Elephas maximus indicus: one gene and its partner. The protein of the gene in region 1 binds, or shares a complex with, the protein of each later gene. Links are inferred from orthologs where the notes say so. Each region holds a gene or a part of one and is shown in the gene's direction. Other genes may lie near its edges.

Evidence for each region.
Region 2: the proteins of BAG6 (region 1) and UBL4A are in contact, whole or in part, in a crystal structure (PDB 4X86), measured with the Homo sapiens proteins. The link is inferred for Elephas maximus indicus from reciprocal best matches to the Homo sapiens genes BAG6 and UBL4A. Residues at the interface, in NP_001092004.1 of Homo sapiens: Gly1052, Pro1053, Leu1055, Leu1057, Ala1060, Val1061, Ala1064, Ala1065, Ala1067, Ala1068, Ala1070, Arg1071, Pro1072, Leu1073, Thr1074, Ser1078, Leu1079, Asp1082, Leu1083, Glu1087, Val1088, Ser1091, Tyr1092, Gln1095, Leu1096, Asp1099, Ile1100, Arg1103, Leu1104; in NP_055050.1 of Homo sapiens: Val95, Leu98, Ile99, Val102, Leu103, Arg105, His106, Phe107, Ser108, Asp111, Arg114, Val115, Gln118, Leu119, Asp122, Tyr123, Glu124, Ser126, Leu127, Ser128, Leu130, Ile135, Leu138, Arg141, Phe142.

The regions. Positions count from the first base shown.
Region 1 is NC_064819.1:93,181,348-93,191,456, reverse strand, and holds the start of BAG6 (large proline-rich protein BAG6), read left to right. Parts: upstream 1-5,816; 5' UTR 5,817-5,836; coding exon 5,837-5,931; intron 5,932-6,381; coding exon 6,382-6,502; intron 6,503-7,641; coding exon 7,642-7,759; intron 7,760-7,871; coding exon 7,872-8,071; intron 8,072-8,311; coding exon 8,312-8,365; intron 8,366-8,514; coding exon 8,515-8,589; intron 8,590-9,197; coding exon 9,198-9,436; intron 9,437-9,931; coding exon 9,932-10,061; intron 10,062-10,109. Other genes in the region: C1H6orf47 (uncharacterized protein C6orf47 homolog), read left to right, coding at 1-553; APOM (apolipoprotein M), read right to left, coding at 1,464-1,489, 1,909-2,007, 2,174-2,272, 2,369-2,442, 2,736-2,890, 3,283-3,396. UniProt on the Homo sapiens protein: ATP-independent molecular chaperone preventing the aggregation of misfolded and hydrophobic patches-containing proteins.
Region 2 is NC_064846.1:1,933,857-1,943,039, forward strand, and holds UBL4A (ubiquitin-like protein 4A), read left to right. Parts: upstream 1-5,749; 5' UTR 5,750-5,842; coding exon 5,843-5,890; intron 5,891-6,117; coding exon 6,118-6,223; intron 6,224-6,457; coding exon 6,458-6,684; intron 6,685-6,801; coding exon 6,802-6,912; 3' UTR 6,913-7,051; downstream 7,052-9,183. Other genes in the region: SLC10A3 (P3 protein), read left to right, coding at 1,478-1,508, 1,765-1,844, 3,114-4,661. UniProt on the Homo sapiens protein: As part of a cytosolic protein quality control complex, the BAG6/BAT3 complex, maintains misfolded and hydrophobic patches-containing proteins in a soluble state and participates in their proper delivery to the endoplasmic reticulum or alternatively can promote their sorting to the proteasome where they undergo degradation.

The DNA.
Region 1 (10,109 bases):
GGGACAGGATCCTCTAGACTCATGTGGTGCCAGGAGAGCCGGGGTGCTCCCTGAAGGGGGACTGAACCCCCGTGGGCCTGAAGCCCCAGTGGAGAAGCCAGGTCGGCGTCAGAAACTACTGGGCTGGCTGCAGGGGGAATCAGGTGGTGGTGTAGGGGCTCCCCTGCCATACCTGGGGGACCCAGAGGAACGTCTGCAGATCTCCACCAACCTGACCTTGCACCTGCTGGAGCTGTTGGCCTCAGCCCTGCTGGGGCTGTGCTCCAGGCCGCTGCGGGCAGCCTTGGACGCATTGGGTCTGCGCGGGCCACTGGGTCTCTGGCTGCATGGGCTGCTGTCCTTCCTGGCTGCCCTGCATGGGCTGCATGCTGTGCTAAGCCTCCTTACTGCTCATCCCCTGCACTTTGCCTGCCTCTTTGGCCTCCTGCAGGCCCTGGTGCTGGCTGTCAGTCTCCAGGAGCCCAGCAGGGATGAGGAGGGCACTGACTGGGAGGGTGAGAGGTTGGGGAAGGAGGGCGAGGAGCAGAGGGGAGATCCGGGAAAGGGGCTGTGACCATGGGGTGGGGTGTGACCCAGGACCCCACCCTCAGTGAGATGGGGGCAAGTAGTGAAGATGGTGTGGCCTTCAGGAAGAGAGTAGGGGGCATGACCCAGATCGGGAACATAGGAACCTCAGGGATGGGGAAGAAAACCCAAGGCATGAGGGCACAGAGCCCTCTTCACACACAGGAGAGAACAGAGCAGCTTTAGGGTTTCTGTGTTTATGGATGGTGGGGCATCGCCCTTGGATTCACCAGCTGTTGTAACTTTTTACTTTTACATTTCTCTCAGTTCCATTTAAAAAAAAAGGGGGGGGGGGAGAGGGCGGGATAAATACTAAAGGGTTTTTTCTATCTTTCATAACTCCCCAAGGGTGGAGGAGACCAGAAGTAGGACAGACAGACCCCTGAGGTAAGAGGATGGTCAAGGGATCTCCTGCATCCAGGGATCTCAGCCATCTTGGAAGAGCAGGCTGCTCGGCAGGTGGATTGGAGCATCTGGATAGGGGCCCACAGGGGATAGGGAGCCTGCAGGAATCTTCACGGGGTACGGAAGGAGCAGGGGTGGTGCAGGCAGGTCAGACAGGCAGCATAGGGGAGACACTGGAGTTTGCAGTTCCACTTTAGTTAGGAGTTTGCTCACTCAGCAATAAATTGTGTCACACCAAATCCTAAATATACCACTACAAAGTGAGAGTTACCACCACTCAGTGTCCTTCCTGACGTCGTCCAGCTGGGGGTTTAGTGGGAGTGTTGAAATGTGCAGAGTAGGATTGATATCTGGAGACAAACCCCAGAATGAGGACTGGAAAATCATCTTTATTATTCTCGAAAGGGAGTTGGAAGTCTCTAGCTAGTCTCCTCCCACCCACCACCATCACAGCTCCCACAGTATCCGTCTGGGGGCACAGATGAAGCCACAGGTCAGTTATTGGACAGCTCACAGGCCTCTGGCAGGAGGGAGGAAAAAAAAAAAGATGGAAAGGAAGAACAGGGAGAGAAGCAAAATTGGTGGTAATGAAGAAGGGAAGAATGCGTTCCTTTATTCCGCCATGTTCCTTTTTTCCAAAAAAGGATCTCTGAGGACTTTTTCCCTCCATGACTGACCCTTTACCCATGCAAACTCAGAAACCCCTCTTTTGAGTAGCCCAGAGTCCAGCCTGGGTTCCTCAAGTGACATCACAGCCCTTGGCCACCTGCCTCTGGTGCCATCATAGCCTATGACACAAATGGGAGTGTCAACATAGCCATTCTGATGATGTCAGCTTTGGCCATGTCGTCCTATGATGTCACATGAGCCCCTTTCATCCAGCACTCCCAGAAGACTTGCTCAGTCCTAGTCCTCTACTTTAGGACTTTAACCCCTCACCTTGATCCCTGGGCATCAGTAAGAAAGCCTTGGAATCCATGCAGGAGGTCAGGGACTGGAATTCCTCCACACATTTCTCGGGAGGGTGTGGTGAGCGATCTAGAAGGGCAGAGCAGGGTCAGGCTAGTTGAGCCCCTGCTCCTCAGCACAGCCCCTGGTGAGGGCCTCATGGAAGCACTCAACCCTCCCTGGAGTCATATCATAGGGCCCAGAGTGAGGGGCCCTCCTGCCCTCTCTGATCCTTCCTGCTTTGCACCCCACTCACTATAGAGGAGGAAGCGCTGGTAGCCCTGGCCCATCTCTTTCAGCATGATTCCACCTGGGCATGAACTGGAGAAGAGCTCGGTTTTCATGTCAGGACGGCCTGTGAGGGTGGGTGGGAGGAGGGGGCGAGGAGAGAGATGCAAAACCAAGCAAGCCTAGGGGACTTGGGGAGGGTCAGGGGACTTGGGGAACCAACCTTCAGTTCTGAGATGAGTGCTTTCCTCAGTCAGGTGGTAGGTCCATTTCCGGGGCACACAGAGCCCATTTTTCCTGCATAGGTGGTAGTGGCATGGAGGAGAAACCGAGTGACACCCCGGCCACACAGCATCTGCCTCCATTTATTCCATCTTATTCCTCCTTGAAGCCTGGATCTCCTTGGGTTTCAGGCTACCAAGGGATGGTTAGGTCCATCTCTCTCTGTCAGAGGGAAACTAATACAGCTTTTGAACCAAGTGGGCCAAGAACAGTGAATGTATCAGCCAAGAGCACAGCTCTTGGTGGTGGGTGCTCACACTTTGGTCAGAGACTGCACCCACTGGTGCCTCTGCCTCCTCATCACTCACGTTCGGATGGTAGCATGAAGCTGGAGCTGTATCGGGGTAGAGGCAGCAGCCATGTTGAAGACAATGTTGTCCACAGGGTCAAAAGTTGCCAATTCTTCCCTGGTGGGAGCTGCCCCTGCGATAAAGTACCACCGGCCAAGGTGGGGCTCTGGGAACTGGAGAGACAATGAGGGGAGCAAAAGAGGGTGGGTCCCATAACAGGATCCATTCAACCTCTTCATCAGCCAGTAGGAGAAGACTTAGGGGTAGGGTGTGGGCTGTTTTCCTCTTTCTAATTGGGTAATGGATCTATCACACAGAGTCATCAATGACATTTCCCCTTTGCTCCTCCCCAATCAACCTGGCTAACCAAGCCCACTCCCAATTCTGCCATGTCTCCACATCGATGACTACAGTCCTAGTATTTTTCTTATTCTTGCTTTCATCATCCCAACATTTATACCCTCTTCCTACTCTCCTTTCCCAACATGGCTTCTAGTCATCCTAGGCCACCCAGCTGAGTCCCTGAGAGCCTCTATCATAGGCTTCCCTCATTCCCAGTCTGTACCTCTTTCCCATCCATTCCTAGAGTTGTCAGTTGACTGTGCTCAGGGCACTGGTAGATGGAGTTAAGGAGAATTCCATAGAGGTAGAGCAGAGCTGCCCAAATTTGGTGGAACATCTTCAGGCAGGAGGGAGCCGATGCCCTGTGTGGGGTGGCTGGTGCCTTAACTGCTCTCTCCCCTGCTGGCTGCTCAGTCTACTCTACTCCCAGCCCCCTTGCCTTGACCCTTGACCCTTTCACCTGCTAATGAGTAACTTCAACCTTGTTTTCCAACCCAAGTCTGGATTTGGACCTTCCTCCCCCTCCTCTAGATGCAGCCACTCCACAGTATACCCTGGTATGTTCAGGGTCTCTCGGGAGTTATGAGAGCTTGGGTTTTCAATCCGCATCTGAGCTGGATATCTGCTATGTTGTGCAGCAGTGAAGTGGGGTTGCTTTCATTCCTTCACTTAGCAACCTGTTTTGAGTCCCATTTGTTTGCCAGGAACTGGCTAAGCCCTGGGGACATAAGGATGGATAAGACATAGTCCCTGGCCTTGAAGAAGTCTGGGGAAAACCAGCTGTACAAACAAATCATTGCAATACAACCTGATAAGTGCTTTAGAGCAGGTATGAACCAGGTACTGGGGTGGGATGGGTGGGAGACTTTCTCTCTGCAGGAATTTGTAATTGGGGAAACTGTATCTTTGTAAAAGTTTGCTGACAAAATGGGTTCATTCACTGACCTTTATTGCTAAGCAAGAGGCTATATAATCTAACGGGTAAGAGAAAAGACTTTGGTGTTAGGAGGACCTGGGTTCAACCCCCAACTCTAGTTATTAGACCTTGAGCAATTTTATTAATCTCTGTGCCTGTTTCTTCATCTGTAAAATGGGCACATATGAATTTCATAGGGTTAAATGAGATGATATACATAAAGACCAGCAAACGCCGGCATGTGGTAAGCTCAAAGTAAATTACTAACCATAATTAATGGTAATGTCTGCAAGAAGTAGTAATTAAATAGTGCCAAGTGGGTGGTGCAGAGTTAATGCAATGAGAGGTGGGGCTTCTCTATAACACGCAGACTGCAAAAAAAAAAAAAATTGTCCTCAGCAATGAGGGTTGCTGTGGGATTGTGATTTAGTTAAAAAAAAAGAAACAAAAAATAATCTGGGTGATGGGTATATGAGTGTTCATTATACTATTCTACTTGGGTATGTTTGAAACTTTTTATAGTAAAAAAAAAAAAAAAAATACAATTTATTGGGGTAGCAAAGTGTAAGTGCTGGAGCCGGAGTCTGGCAGGCCTAGGACTGATTGTCAGTTCTGCCACTTATGTTCGCCTAGGTGTACTCACCTATAAAACAGATGTAATATCTCAGACGAAAAATTTACTGTGACCACAGTACGTGAAATTTTAGTATATTGCTTGACACTAAGTGCTCACTAGACAGATCTTATTAGACCTCTTCATTTGGGACTTGGGTATGTAAAAACTATAAATTTTGGAAAAGCACCCCCTGAGGCAGGCATCTCAGCAACAAGGGGTTTAGCTGGACGGGTCGTACCGTCGCAGGGCCGAAGACCCTGCCCTTGGGGGAAGGGCAGAGAGGAGCAATAACTCAGGCAGCCCTGGCCTGCCAAAACCGTTTGGGTCAGAGTTTCGTCTTTCGGTCCCATCTGACTCCATTTGCCACAATTCCCAAACTTGGACGGGTTTCTTGACAAAATTCCCGAAAGGTAGGGCAGCATCCTTAACTTTCCGAAAGGATGGCGTGTCCCCTCGGCCGCGAAGCCCACGGTAAGGAACATGGCGCCCGGACCCCACAAAATGCCCACCGGATAGAACTGAGGACCGACGAACGATAGGACCTCACGCAACAGAACGGACAATACGCGAGTCGCCACCAACCGCCTGCGGAAAGGTAACTTGCTGAGGCGCCGAAGGGCGCAGCGAGGTCTACACTGACTGGAAGGCAGGGTTTTAGGTGGCCAGAGCAGTGCCGCCTGAAATTCTCTGCCTGCCAGGACTTTAAAATAGATTAAATGAGGCATAGTCTCAAATACTCAAACTTCAAGAGCCATGCAACAGTCCAAAGCGTCTCTCCAGGCAGTCGTACAGTTCCAGATAGTAATTTATTTTCAGGCATTTATCGTGGCCACCTCAACCTTTGATCGCTCAAACGCACGAACATGAGAAGCGGGGGGTGGGGACGTGCTTAAGGACGTACGCATGCGTACTGCAACTCACGCAGGCGCAGTACGGTCCCCCGGGCGACGGCCGTGGCGGATCCTCGGGGTGCTCGGCTCCTTCCCATCTAGGCCGCCCCCGGCCCGTCTCGCCCCCAGGGATCCATTCCGTTGGGGGCCGCGGACTTTCTCGTCGTGCCCCACAAAAGGAAAGTTTGGGGACCTGGGGGGAGCCGGAAGTACCGCCTTGCGATCCCCAAATACTATCGGGGAAACGGAAGTGGCCGTCGGTGGCAGGTTGGGAAGACCGGAAGTGACGGTACCTTGGAGAAGTCGGGGGTGGAGCTGCGGGGAAGTGTGTATGTGAGAGTGTGTGTGTGTTTGTATGTGTGTTTGGCTGTATGTCGATTGTGCCGCTCTGCTGGATCGCCGAGGGAAGGCGGAAGACGGGGGGCTATCAGCTAGCCGGTCCCGCCCCCCGTGAGTGTCTGCCGTCTGTCGTGACTTAGGCGGGTTCGATGGGCGTGGCGCGCGTGCGCGAAGCTATTTTCTCCGCAGTGTCTGGCGCGACCCCCGCTCTCGCAGTGTCCCAGGGTTTGCCGATCCCTAGGGCCCTTGTCCTATTGCGACCGGTGATGACACTGGTCTCGTGCTTCCTCCCCTGCTTTCTAATCCGACTGGCCCTCGTTATTGTGATTGGCGTCTTGGAGCCCCTCCCACCTCCCGTCCTCCAGCTCCCTTTGCCGTCGATCCCTTGCCCTTTGTGTTTCTCTGCCCCGGAATCGGAAGGGGGATGGGGGCGGGTGTGAGTGCGAGTGCTTGTGTGGGAGAAACTTTTTAGATATTGGGGCGGGGACTCAGGCTGGGGAGGCTTCCGGGTATATAAAATCTGCTCCAGGCTACAGCGGATCTCCCTCCATTCTTCCCTAGAGAACTGTCGGCCATGGAACCCAATGATAGTACCAGCACCACTATGGAGGAGCCTGACAGCCTGGAGGTGCTGGTGAAGACCTTGGACTCTCAGACTCGGACCTTTATTGTGGGGGCCCAGGTGAGACCCTGTTGCTGTTGGAAGACATTGATTAGCTTTTTCTTATAGGCTCCTTAGCCTGAGGGAAGAACCTGATTTTCTCGTCCCCCAAATTTTCTGACATTGATTTGTTTGTTGGTATTTTATACAAAACGTTTCTGGTGTTTCTCGTTGAATGAGAAGGTAGAGTTTCTGATGAGTGAGGCACATTTTCTGCCTTACTCTTTTTCTTTAGAACTCATTGCAGAGGGAAATACAGAGGAAGGGGCCATCTGTATCCCATCATTGTAGGTGATCGTCAGCCCAAAGGGGCAGCCATAGCTCAAACAACACACGGACCCAAAACAGAAGTGTGCTTTAAGAACAAAAATTGGCCAGGTGTATACCGTGTCTTTAAGGCTAGAAATCAGAGCTAATAATGAATGTAGAGCTCATATAGACTGCTGGGTGGAATTATGAATGTGGCATACTTTTAATTTCTTGAGTTTAATATCACGGATACAGCTACCTGTGTTTTTACTCCGGTGATACTTGGAGACAAAATTGTGACTGAGTTGGTTCATGGGTGTTTAAAACATTGTACTCCATGAGTATTTAAGAAAACCACGTAGATTTTTGAGGTTAGATGTCACGTAAACATTTTGGTGTTTCCTAGAGTTGTTTAGTTATGAAAAATGTTTTGTTTTTTGTTTCCTTCTTGCTTACTTCTTGGTTGGATCTTCCCTTCTTAACCTTCACCCATCTTCTTTGTCATTTCTCTTATTTTTGAGATTACAGGGTTGTCTGTGGTAAAGAAACTTCTGGTATCATTTTGTGTTTCGGGAAGGGTGATCCCCTCTGGCATCTTGAGACACACGTTCCCTTGGGAGTCAAGCATAAAAAGAGAGAAAGGAATGTCAGTTGGTTTTTCTGTTTTTCAGCTATGTAATTCTTTTCTGGGCATATAACCTGAGCTTATCTGAGTTTGTTGTCTGTGTCTTGATATATTTTGTCTGTATCTGTTCTCAGAAATTTGCATGGTAACTATCTCACAGTCAACATAGGTAGTGATTTTATTACGGTTTTTGCTCCTTATCTGGGCATGAGTCAGTTGTCACTCCTCTGTTCCTTCTTCCTCCCTCCATTTCCTGATTCCTATTCTTATCTTTTCCTCCTTGCAGATGAATGTAAAGGAGTTTAAGGAACACATTGCTGCCTCTGTCAGCATCCCCTCTGAGAAACAAAGGCTCATCTACCAGGGCCGTGTTCTGCAGGATGATAAGAAGCTCCAGGAATACAGTAAGGGGGTGGGGGATGGCAACTCAGAGGTTGAAGCTGGTGTGCAGAGTGATGTGCTGACATTATGGCTTTACCTGATGTTTTGGTGTGTGTCTATCTTTTTGCACCACAGATGTTGGAGGAAAGGTTATCCATCTGGTGGAACGGGCTCCTCCTCAGACTCAACTCCCTTCTTCTGGGGCATCTTCTGGGACAGGGTCTCCCTCTGCTACCCATGGTGGGGGACCCCCACCTGGTACTCGGGGTCCTGGGGCCTCTGTTCATGACCGGAATGCGAACAGCTATGTCATGGTTGGAACCTTCAATCTTCCTGTAAGCTTGTGTTCCACTTGGGAGGGTTTTTTTGGGTAAGGGTAGATTTGGTTGTGGTAGTAGCAGGGCGCTTGTAAGACAGGCGTCTTAGTCTATAGATTGAGTTTGGAGGCTCCTTTGGTCTGATATTGGCCTCAATCTTTGAAGGGAAAGGGGGCGGGGCTCCAGAGAATGAGTTGAAAGTATGGGGGCCTTAGTATTTGGCTTCTCCCAGAGCAACTTCACTTACCCTTTCCCCAGAGTGACGGCTCTGCTGTGGATGTTCACATCAACATGGAACAGGCCCCGATTCAGGTATCACGGGGCCTGGGAGGGTCAGGGAAGGGGATCTGGGAGAAGGAGGCCTTGAGGTGGGGTGGAGATGGCTGGGACCTCGTTTAGTAGGCGGTGGAGCTCATGGCTTCATCTCAGACCTGCCCTGATCATCCCTTCTCTTGCCATAGAGTGAGCCCCGGGTACGGCTGGTGATGGCTCAGCACATGATCAGGGATATACAGACTTTGCTATCCCGGATGGAGGTAAGCAGGCAGGGCTGGCTAGTGTGTGTCTGTCTCTCTCTGTGCATCCTCTTTCTGTCATCCTGGGGATGGGGGCATGACTGGCTATATCCACTGCTTCCCTAATCTGGTCTCTTTTTTGCAGTCTTCATTCTTTCAAGCAGAAAAAGTATCTTTGTGGGGCTATCTTGTCCCTGCTAGTCTTCTTGGCATCTAATATCTGGGGAGTTTGTTTCAGACTTTTTAGATAATTCTGACGGTCTCTGTTTGTTCCATTAAAAAAAGGTTCCGCCTATTTTAGTTTATTTATTACTTTTAACATCAGAACGTTTTAACTCCGTTAGTTTGAATTGCAGCTGTAATTTGTCGCCTGTTCTTCTTTTGTCCTGGAGATACAAAAACTAGTCTGTACTTTTTGTTAGTAGCTTATTTACGAATCTTATAAATATTTATTATGCTCCTGATTTGTGTCTTTTACTAGTTCCTGGGGAGTCAAAAATGTAGACACAAAGCTTTGCCTCCAAAAAACCTAGTTAGAGCATGTTCTCTGCTCAGTCTCTTTTGACCCGAGTAATGCTCTGCAGTAGTCTCATCCTGCCTTTGGTGTCCTGACTCTCCTCCACCTTCAGTGTCGAGGGGGGCCCCAAGCCCAGCACAGTCAGCCGCCCCCACAGACGCCGACTGCCACCCCGGAGCCAGTAGCCTTGAGCTCTCAAACATCAGAACCCGCCGAAAGCGAAGCCCCTCCTCGGGAGCCTATGGAGGCAGAAGAAGTAGAGGAGCGTGCCCCAGCTCAGAGCCCAGAGCTCACCCCTTCTGGTCCAGCCCCTGCGGGGCCAACACCTGCCCCAGAGACAAATGCACCCAAGTGAGAGAGGGCACCCAGCAGGGGTCCTAAATGAAATATGGGAACTAAGGTGTGATGGGAGGGAAGGATTGCTTGGAGATATTGCTTGTGAGATCAGCTGTGAGGGGCAGGGGGCATTCTGGTTGTAGGTAAAAGGGATGAGACTGGCAGCTGAGCAGAGGCACTGCTGTCCCTGGGGCAAGGAAATCCTAATGGTGCCACCTGAGCCTGTTCTAAACTCTCCCCCCAGTTCACATGGCCTTATCTCTGCTTTTCAGTTAGTTTCTTACCCTTGAAGGTACAAGAGTGTGCAGTGGGGAGGGTGGGCGCAGTTCTTTTTCCTCTCCCAGTCTTCTCCAGGTGGGGCCAAAGCACAGAAGCACTGTTAGTCCAGGAAGAGATTGGGCCAGAGGTTTGGGAGGCCAGGGAGAGACGGGGCACGTGTGGTCCCTATTAACTGTGAAGTTGGGAGCCTGAGGAAAGCCTTGGCTCACTGCCTCTTGGGGTTGCCTGCAGCCATCCTTCCCCTGCGGAGTACGTGGAGGTGCTCCAGGAACTGCAGCGGCTGGAGAGCCGCCTCCAGCCCTTCCTGCAGCGCTATTATGAGGTTCTGGGTGCTGCTGCCACCACGGACTATAACAACAATGTAAGTCCTCCCACCTCTTCACCCCAGAACTCCCTGAACAGAAGAGGC
Region 2 (9,183 bases), on another chromosome or scaffold:
CTGGCAGCCCTCAGCCACATTTGTAAGGAACAGTACGAACGTTCCAGGACAACTGCACACAAATGGTTCACGCCTTACTGGTTCTCAGAGCCTAAAGAACAGCCTCTGAATGTTTTTGATCACCCATATAAGTCAAATCTTTTTGAGCATGCACCCCCAGTGTGTGCCCATGTGTTTATGTATTATAGGCGGTACTAAGTTTAATTTTATAATTCACACAAAGTAAATGTTTACAGATTAAATGAAAACTCTGTTTTCTTTGAACATTTACAATGGTGTGTCTTGTGTACCTCCTGGAGCTAAGCGTCACCGACTTTGGGGACCGTTAGCCTCCATCATAGCAGTTACGAGAGGCTCCATCAGAGCAGTGTAGCTTGTTCATTCGTGTGCAGGCTGATTCAAGTTGCCCTGGCAGCCTTTGGGAACATACAAATCCCCTTTGACTCTGACTTGTTTACTGTCTCCCGGCAGCTTCTGTACACCCTCTCACTACCTTTTTCCCCATCCTTATGCCATCTGTTTCTTCCACTCCTTTTCACTGAAGCCTCTGGACCTTGCTGGTCGTACCAAATGGTTTCGAAGGTGAACAATTCCTGGGAGTCCATTTAATGACCCACAATGTGGGAATAGGCGCTCGGTCAATACTTGAACGAATGAAGCGGAACTCCGCACAAAGGCTGGGCACCCTGAAGCCCGGGCCCTCCGCGACCGCCTCTCCGTGCCCTTGGCAGCAGTCCCCGAGTCTGCCGAGCCTTGCTAACGTCTAACCCCGTGTCCCACCACCCCCAGAAGCCGCAGAGTGCTTGAAAATGACCGGGACCCCTTCCCGGAGCAAGTGCCCCTGGCGGCGCCCAGAAAAGGTTCAGACACACGGTCCGGGGGCCGAAGGAGGCCGCGCCCGGCGCCACCAGGTGACAACATGGCAAGCCGCCAGTACCGCCCGCCAGTCCTGGGCCCGAAAGCCCGCTCTTCATCGCGGGCCGCCGCGCCACTCCCCAAAACGTCACATCCGGTGGAAACCCAACCCGGAAGCGAACGGTGAACGGTGGGCCGTGAGGTGGGCGTGGCCAGGAGCCGCGCGGGGCGTGGCCCTGGTGGGCGGGGTCGGTTGGGGCGGGGCCGTGGGCGGGGCCCTGGCGGGCCGAGCTCGCAGGCGTCCGGCTGGCTGGGCAGGCGCTGGCGTCGAGCTCCGCGGGCGCGGCAGGTGAGAGCCTCAGGCCGGGAAGGGTCGGGCAGGAGGTGGCCTGTGGCCTCTGGCCCAGCCCGGTTGCGCGCTGGCTCCAGCGCCAGGGGCCGGCGGGGAAGGACCGGACGCCGCGCATTCGCTAGGCCTGGCGTGGCCGTGCGTCCTGGGGGTCAGGCGAGGTTTCCTTTGCCCTCGGGGCCACCCGGGAGGCCCCCAACCTGCCGGCTGCGGGACGGCCGCGCGCTCCTTCCCTCCCTGGTTTGCGCCCACGAGTGAGAAGCAGCTCTGCTCATGGAAAATGAGACAACTTCCGGACTTCCAGGTAGGGAGGAGCCCTGAGACCATCACTGCCAACTAGCCCTCAACACTGAAAACCCGTGTGGACAAAGCCGTCCGGGGTCGAGATCCATACCCCGCCCTGGGGTGCATTCTGGTCAAACTCTTCCGGCCCTGCAGCAGAAATGGTTTAGGGTCTGAGCTGAACCTCTGTTGCGGTGACTTAAAGCTGGTAGCTGTATTGGTGTATTGGGAAGACGGGGGCCTGGGAGCCTTTATCTTTTTCCTCTAAATCCCTCCAGTTTCCTTCTCATGCCCCCATCTCTGTGTTCCTGCATCCCTCTTTTCTGGTGGGACGCAAGGCTGGACCAAGGCCTCCAGGGTAAGTGCCTGAAGCTCCCAAACCAGCAGAGCCCATGTCATCCTGGGGGACGCTTTTCCAAGGACCAGTCTTTTGCCTAAGCTGCCCTCCACTTCCCTCTGTACCCAGACTGGTGGGGTGGGGGGGTGAGGAAGGGGAAGCAAGGGCCAAACACTACTAGGAACTAGAGAAGCCAGTGGCTCTGCCAAGGTGTGAAGCAACCAGAAGTAGCGATGCAAAACTGCTGTGTTGCCCCAGTTGTAGCAGGTGATGCAACAATATTCACCATGAGGCACCCTTCACCCCAGTGCACTCACAGACACACTGGTAGTGAGAGATGCTGGTGGGGGCACATGTGGGGGTGGGAGACTAGCCTCCGAGCACAGCTTTCCAAATATGAGGTTGCGACTCCAGTAGCCATATTTGGAGACTGCCAGAGGAGTAGGAGCTCTGTCCAGAGGAGGGGAAGCTCCTCAGCAGACATGTGACCCTATTTGACCCCTTCCTGCTGCTTCTTCCAGCAAGTTCCTTGGGGGAAGGGGACCTGCTCCTCCTCAGGACTCCCTTCTCACCACTGCCAGCAGGCAGGGCAGGCCAGGTAGTCATGCCAGCCCCTTTCCCAACAGAGCACTGGTGGCAGACAAAAGCCTCTGGGGCCTTCCACCTGCCCACACTGTTCTGCTGGCCTCTGTGCCTAGCCTGAGGCACTCCAACTCCCTGGCCTGTTCTCAAGCGCTCCCAGATCAGGCTCAGTCAGCACCCTTTGCTCTCCTCAGGCGGGCCTCCTGGTCATCCCCAAGCAGTGTTTCGGGATCACATCCAGTTGTGGTATCACAGCAAGCCCACTGTCACTGTGTTTCGGAGCCCATGGGGATTAAACAGGCCTTGTATGTGGTGCTAGTGGTGACAGGCCTGGGGGTGGCTCTCCTCGAACCCACTGGAATCGGGGCATCTCTACGCTGCCCCTGGAGGGGCAGAGAGGGCATGTCCAGGGAAATTAGTAGTTATCAGCGGCTGACAGTAACTCATATCTGTAGCTGGACCCTCTGGGCAAGGGATGGGGGGCCACACTAGCATGTGGGAAACTTGAGGCAGCTGTGTTGGGGGAGGGGACAGCCGAATGGCACTTAAGGGCCAGCATCAAGCATTGCCCTTCTGTTCCTGGGCTTGACGCAAGAGGCTCTGCTAAGGCTTCCAGATCCCTATGCTACCACTCCCAGAGGGCCAAGTCTCACAGGCTCATGCTGCTGTCCGTCACCAGCCTCCTCTCTGTGTCCTTTCTCTCCTCAGGGAGAGCTCTGCCATCCAGGAAAGCAGCCCAGTACCTGGACTTGCCCATGGACTGTTCTCAGGACCAGCCGACGGTACAGGCTGGGGAGCCCTCCTAAGCTGCAGAGAACCCTGGTGCATGGTCCTTCAGGAGAAGCCATGGTGTTAGAGAGGCCTGGCCTGGGCAGGGTGGGTGGCTGCCCAGGCCCCCTCAGTATGCTTCAGGCTGCCTTGCTTCTTGCCAGCCTGCCATGGAGAGTCCGAGGAACAGCCAGTGGCAACCTCAGCACAGCTCTGGGCCACACTGTACCACTGATGAGGGCCCACTACCTGAGCATTGGGGACGGCTCAGTGATGGAGTTTGAGTTCCCCGAGGAGAGTGAAGGCATCATCGTGATCTCAAGCCAGTACCCGGCTCAGAGCAATGGGACTAGGCTTGGCCCCACGCTCAGGGTCACCTCCCTGGACACAGCGGTGCTGACCATCAAGAACGTGAGTGCCGTAAGCTGGGGTGGTGGGGGTGGCTTTGTGGTGAGCATCCACTCTGGCCTGGCAGGGCTGGCACCCCTCCACCTGCAGCTCATGGACCTGCATAAGGCCCAGCCCCTGCTGATCGAGGAACGGAGTGATTTCTCCATCAAGGTCTTGCCTGCTGAAGACGCGCCAGCCACCCTCAGTGCTGACCTGGCCCACTTCTCAGAGAACCCAATACTCTACCTGCTCCTGCCTCTCATTTTCGTCAACAAGTGTTCGTTCGGGTGCAAAGTGGAGCTCGAGGTTCTGAAGGGGTTCCTGCACAGCCCCCAGCCCATGCTGCTGGGCCTCCTGGGTCAGTTCCTGGTCATGCCCTTCTATGCATTCCTGATGGCCAAGGTCTTCATGCTGCCCAAGGCCCTGGCCCTGGGCCTCATCATCACCTGCTCTTCGCCCGGGGGTGGCGGGAGCTACCTCTTCAGCCTCCTCCTTGGAGGAGATGTCACCCTTGCCATTTCCATGACTTTCATCTCCACGGTGGCTGCCACTGGCTTCCTGCCACTGTCCTCAGCTATTTACAGCCACCTTCTCAGCATCCATGAAACCCTTCACGTGCCCATCTCCAAGATCCTGGGGACGCTGCTGTTCATTGCCATTCCAATAGCAGCTGGTGTGGTGATCAAGTCCAAGCTCCCCAGGTTCTCCCAGCTGCTGCTGCAGGTCATCAAGCCCTTCAGCTTTGTGCTCCTCCTGGGTGGCCTCTTTCTGGCCTACCGCATGGGCATCTTCATCCTGGCGGGCGTCAGGTTCCCCATCGTGCTGGTGGGCCTCACAGTGCCCCTGGTGGGCCTTTTGGTGGGCTACTGCCTGGCCACATGTCTGAAGCTGCCTGTGGCTCAGCGGCGAACGGTCAGCATTGAGGTCGGGGTGCAGAACAGCCTGCTGGCCTTGGCCATGCTGCAGCTGTCCTTCCGCCACCTCCAAGCTGACTTTGCCTCCCAGGCCCCCTTCATTGTGGCACTGAGTGGCACCTCAGAGATGCTGGCTTTGGTCATGGGCCACTTCATCTATAGCAGCCTGTTCCCAGTTCACTGAGGCTCCGGGCCAAGCTTCTACCCCCCTCCCCACTCTCCGCAGTTCTCGCGTACCAAAGGCCTTCAGTGCTCATGCACTATGCACTTGGAAAATCCAGGCTTATTTTTTGTACTGATTTTGTATTCTTCAGCTTTCATTGCCAAAGAGGCCATGCTGAGTTAGGTAGGTGGGCACTGCCCAGAAATATATTTCAATAAAAGAGAGAAGCAAGTTTGGGTCCCTTCCAGTCTCTGCCCTTTGGGGCCTGGGGGTGGGAGTGAGGTAAGAAGAGTGTGGCTGGGGAGGTGTGGGCAAGAGTGGAGGGCCAACTTGGGTGACACCCTGCACCACGTGTGCTTGGGGGAGTTGGAAAGGAGGCTTCGTCCAGGTCTGTGGTTTATGAGCTTCAGGCTCTTTTTCTGTCAGCCCCCCACCCTCATGCCATCCTGTGAGAGGTGGGCCTCTCTCTGCTCTAGAATATGAGCGCCAGGGGGGATGAGGGCAGAGCGGGGCTACCCTGCCTGCTCTGAGCACAGCAGTTGGTTTTTCTGCAGCCAGACTAAAAGGAAGGTGGGACAAAACCGTCAGACAGGGGAGCAAGTGTGGACAGGACTTGTGGACACCTGTCCCCTCCCTGGCTGGGCTCACTGAGAGGCAGACTCTAGGTTTGCTACTGAGCTACTCCACCAGCAGTCGGAGCGTCTGGAGGGCCTGAAGTTCCACGGGGCGAGCTTACTCCCAGCCATTCCTTCTCCCAAGCCCCATCTCCCAGATGAAGCAAACTTGGCCAACTCATTCCCCTTTTCCACCCTGGCATACAGTACTGGCTGGCTGGCGTCAGCCTAGCTTCCCCGCACGGTAGCGGGGTGGAGGAGGAGGGCGGAGATCCGGCAGTCTGGACCGGCCCTGGGCGTGGGCAAAGCCAGACACCAGAGGAACTCCTCCTCCCGGAGTGGCAGAGGGTGGAGCGGGGCGCGCTGGCCGGAGGGGGCGGGGCGAGGAGGGGAGGCGGGGCGTGAGGGCCGGGGGCGGGGCAAGCGCGGAGGGGGCGGGCTAGGGTGGGGCGCACAGGGCGGTTCCGGCGCGCGCCCGGGGCGGTGGCGGTGGCGCGCGGCGGGGGGCCGTTGGGGTGCGCGTCAGTCGAAGTGGACACTGCCGCCGCCGCCGCCGCCGCCGCCGCCGCCGCCGCCGCCGCCGCCGCCATGCAGCTGACGGTGAAGGCGCTCCAGGGCCGAGAGTGCATCTTGCAGGTAGTGTCGCCAGGCCCGGTCCACCCTGCCCCACTCGTGCACTCACCGCCTTCAGGCGCGGGGACGGGAAGGGACCAGGGGCGGCGCCGGCTCGGGGAGGGGACAGGGCAGGTCGGCCAGCCGGGGCGGGGAGGCCTGGAGAGCTGAGTCCTGGAGGGGCCTGCGAGGGCTTCACAGCCCAGCGAACTGCAGGCTCAACCCCTGCCTCCCAAACTCGGTCCGCTCAGGTGTCAGAGGACGAGATGGTGTCCTCACTGAAGCTTCTGGTCTCCGAGCAACTGAACGTCCCTGTGCGCCAGCAGCGGCTGCTGTTCAAGGGCAAAGCCCTGGCAGGTACCAGGGGAGTGGAGACGCCCAGGGAGCCCCGCAGGAAGGCGGGGGTGGGGTGTCGAGAATGAGACTGGTGGCAGTGTGACGCTCCACAGCGAGGCGGCTATCAGTGCTGCCCGCACAGAGGGAGCCGACACACCGGCAGCAAGACACACTGCAGTGCCCTTGCTTGGGCTCACTTCCCTGGGCAACTACAGCAGCTGGAGGTAATGAACTTCATCAATTTCTCCTTGGCAGATGGAAAACGACTTTCAGATTACAGCATTGGCCCCAATTCCAAGCTCAACCTAGTGGTCAAGCCTCTGGAGAAGGTGTTACTGGACCAAGGCACTGCTCGGAGGCAGGCAGAGGTCCAGCCCCGACCACTAGCTCCACCCTCAGAGACTTGGCAGCTGATCGCCAAAGTTCTGGGCCGACACTTCAGCTCAGCAGATGCCAACAGGGTCCAGGAACAACTCCAGCGGGTGAGAATGTAGCCCCATAAGCCCAAACCTCCTCTGCCACTCCAGTGCCCCCTGCTCCAGCCTCTGCTGACTGCCCCCCCCCCCCCAGCCCAAATCCTCCTGGCCTTCTCTCCTCAGGAGTACGAGAGGTCCCTGAGCCGCCTGACGATGGATGACATTGAACGCTTGGCAAGCCGCTTCCTGAACCCTGAAGTGACCGACGCTACGGAGAAGGGGCTCTCCAAATAAGATCCTTGGCATGTGGGAGGAAGCATGGCTGCATGTTGCATTAAATGTGTTCTCGTAATGTTAACAAAATAAAAACAGCTGACTGGTACTGGCTCTTGCTAGGTGCCAGTCACTGTCAAAGCACTTGACCTGGGTTCACTCACCAACCCCTCACAAAAGTGTGACAACACCGGCTCATACCAGTGAAGGGGATGGGGGCAGAATCTGAGTCCAGCCACCTTCTAGAAGTGCCTCACAGTGGAGCAGGGCAAGTGGTTGTTTACAACAGTTACAAGGGCTGAGCTGTGGTGTTTCATGGGTAGCCTACTGAGAGTAAATTCTCCATCGACTCCCTCCCAGGCCTGAAAGGGGAGGCAGCTGATGCCTGGGGCTCAGTCCTGCCACCTGCCCTCTACTCAGCTTCACAGGAGCTGATGTGACACATGTCCTGGCATATGACAGCCAGCCTTGGGGCCTTCCTCAGAGCCGCTGCAACCCATGTGCTCTGATGAAGGAAAAGTAGATCGGGGCTCTGTGGTGTGACTTGGGGCATGTGCCTGTGCCATGCTGGGCCCCAGCCATCAGCTCTGCTCAGTGAGGGCCACTCCTCCAATCTGAGTCCATCTTCCTTCAACCTCACCCCAGCCCAGCAGGGGGGAATCTCTGCAGCAGTGCTTCCCCCTGGGTTTGATAAACTACTGAGGCCAAAAAGGAAGCAATGGCCAAGCATGGACCAGAGACGGGGTGTCCTGGCCCTTCATGTCACGGCTCTCCTCTGTCTCCTCCCAGAAGGGGTCAGTTCTCGCCCATGAGGGGTGACAGGTGACTTGCTTGAGGACACTCATCACAGCACGGAAGGTGCACGTGTGCAGGGCCTTCCCCTTTCCACGCCCCTCCTCCCCTGAAGAAGCGGGGACTGGGTGGCACCGGTTTCTCTCTCCTTCACCTTGCCCTGTCCAAGAGTGCAGAAGGTCATCTAAGCCCCGTTCCTTTGAGGAGGGCCCTGGGTGGTAGAGGCTGGAAGGAAGCCATGTGCATATGGAGACCCTGCTCCAGCCGCTGTCCCCCCTGGGGCTTCCCATGTCTCCATGCTCTTACAGCAGGAGGGTGGCTTAGGTGGGAACTCCCCGCCCAAGGCCCACGGGCGAAGGCTGTGAAGACCAGACCCAAGCCCCTGGACTACCCGAGGGCTGGGAGCAGAAACAGCATGCGTGGTCCAGCCACTCGTGAAAATGTGCCAATGCTTTCATTTTGTTTTAGGCAGCAAATTTATTTCAAAGGTTTAAATAACATTAAAGGTGGTTGAGATTTTTATTTTTATCCAAAGGGAACTATATTAGCTTGGCCGCCTTGAGTTCTATCTTAGCTATCTAGTGCCGCTATAACAGAAATACCACACCTGGGGGGCTTTAACAAGAATTGATTTTCTCACAGTTTAGGAGGCTGGAAGTACGAATTCAAGGTGCCGGCTTCAGGGGAAGGTCCTTGTCTCTTTGGCTTGTTTCCTGGCTCCTTGGACAGCTTCATGTGGCTTGGCATCTCTCTTCCCCCATCTCTGCTTTCTAGCTTGCTTGTTTAATCTCTTGTGTATCTCAAAAGAGATTGACTCAAGATACATCCTACACTAATCCTGTCTCGTTAACATAACAAAGACAACCCATTCCCAAATGGGATTAGAACCACAGGCATAGAGGTTAAGATTTACAACACAGATTTTGGGGGGACACGGTTAAATCCATAACAGGTTTCAAATAATTAGTTTAACAATAGAAGAAATTGAAGTCCAAGGGTATTGGCAGCAGTGAACCATTTCACCAAATACCCTCTTTCTTCTTGCCTCCTCTCAGCATTCTGCAATGTCTGCTTCATTCTTGGCCACTCCTTTTATGAGAAAAGATGGCTGCCTGGACCTGCCGTGGAACCCAAGGGCTTCTTCTCTCCCTATAGAGTAGCTTCTCAGATGACCCCAGCAAACAAGTGCTTTTGTCTCGTTGGGCAGAACTGGGTCTCACAGCCAATATTACAGCCTCTGACAGTGTGTCAAGAGGTAGGTAGGACTAATTCCCCTTCAGGGCCTGCCCTCTGGCACTGTGCCTGGAGCAGCTGCCCTGGAAACACTTGGGCTTCACGAGGGAGGTGGAGATACTCACCAAAGGCAAGGTCCTGAGGTGGTGGCGGAGCAAGAAATGCTAGGTGGCCCCAAATAGCAGCTGTCCACTTCTGGGACCAACACACACGGATGTGTTTCAGAAAGCAGGAGGAGGACCACCGTGGAAACATTGAGGGTGAGAC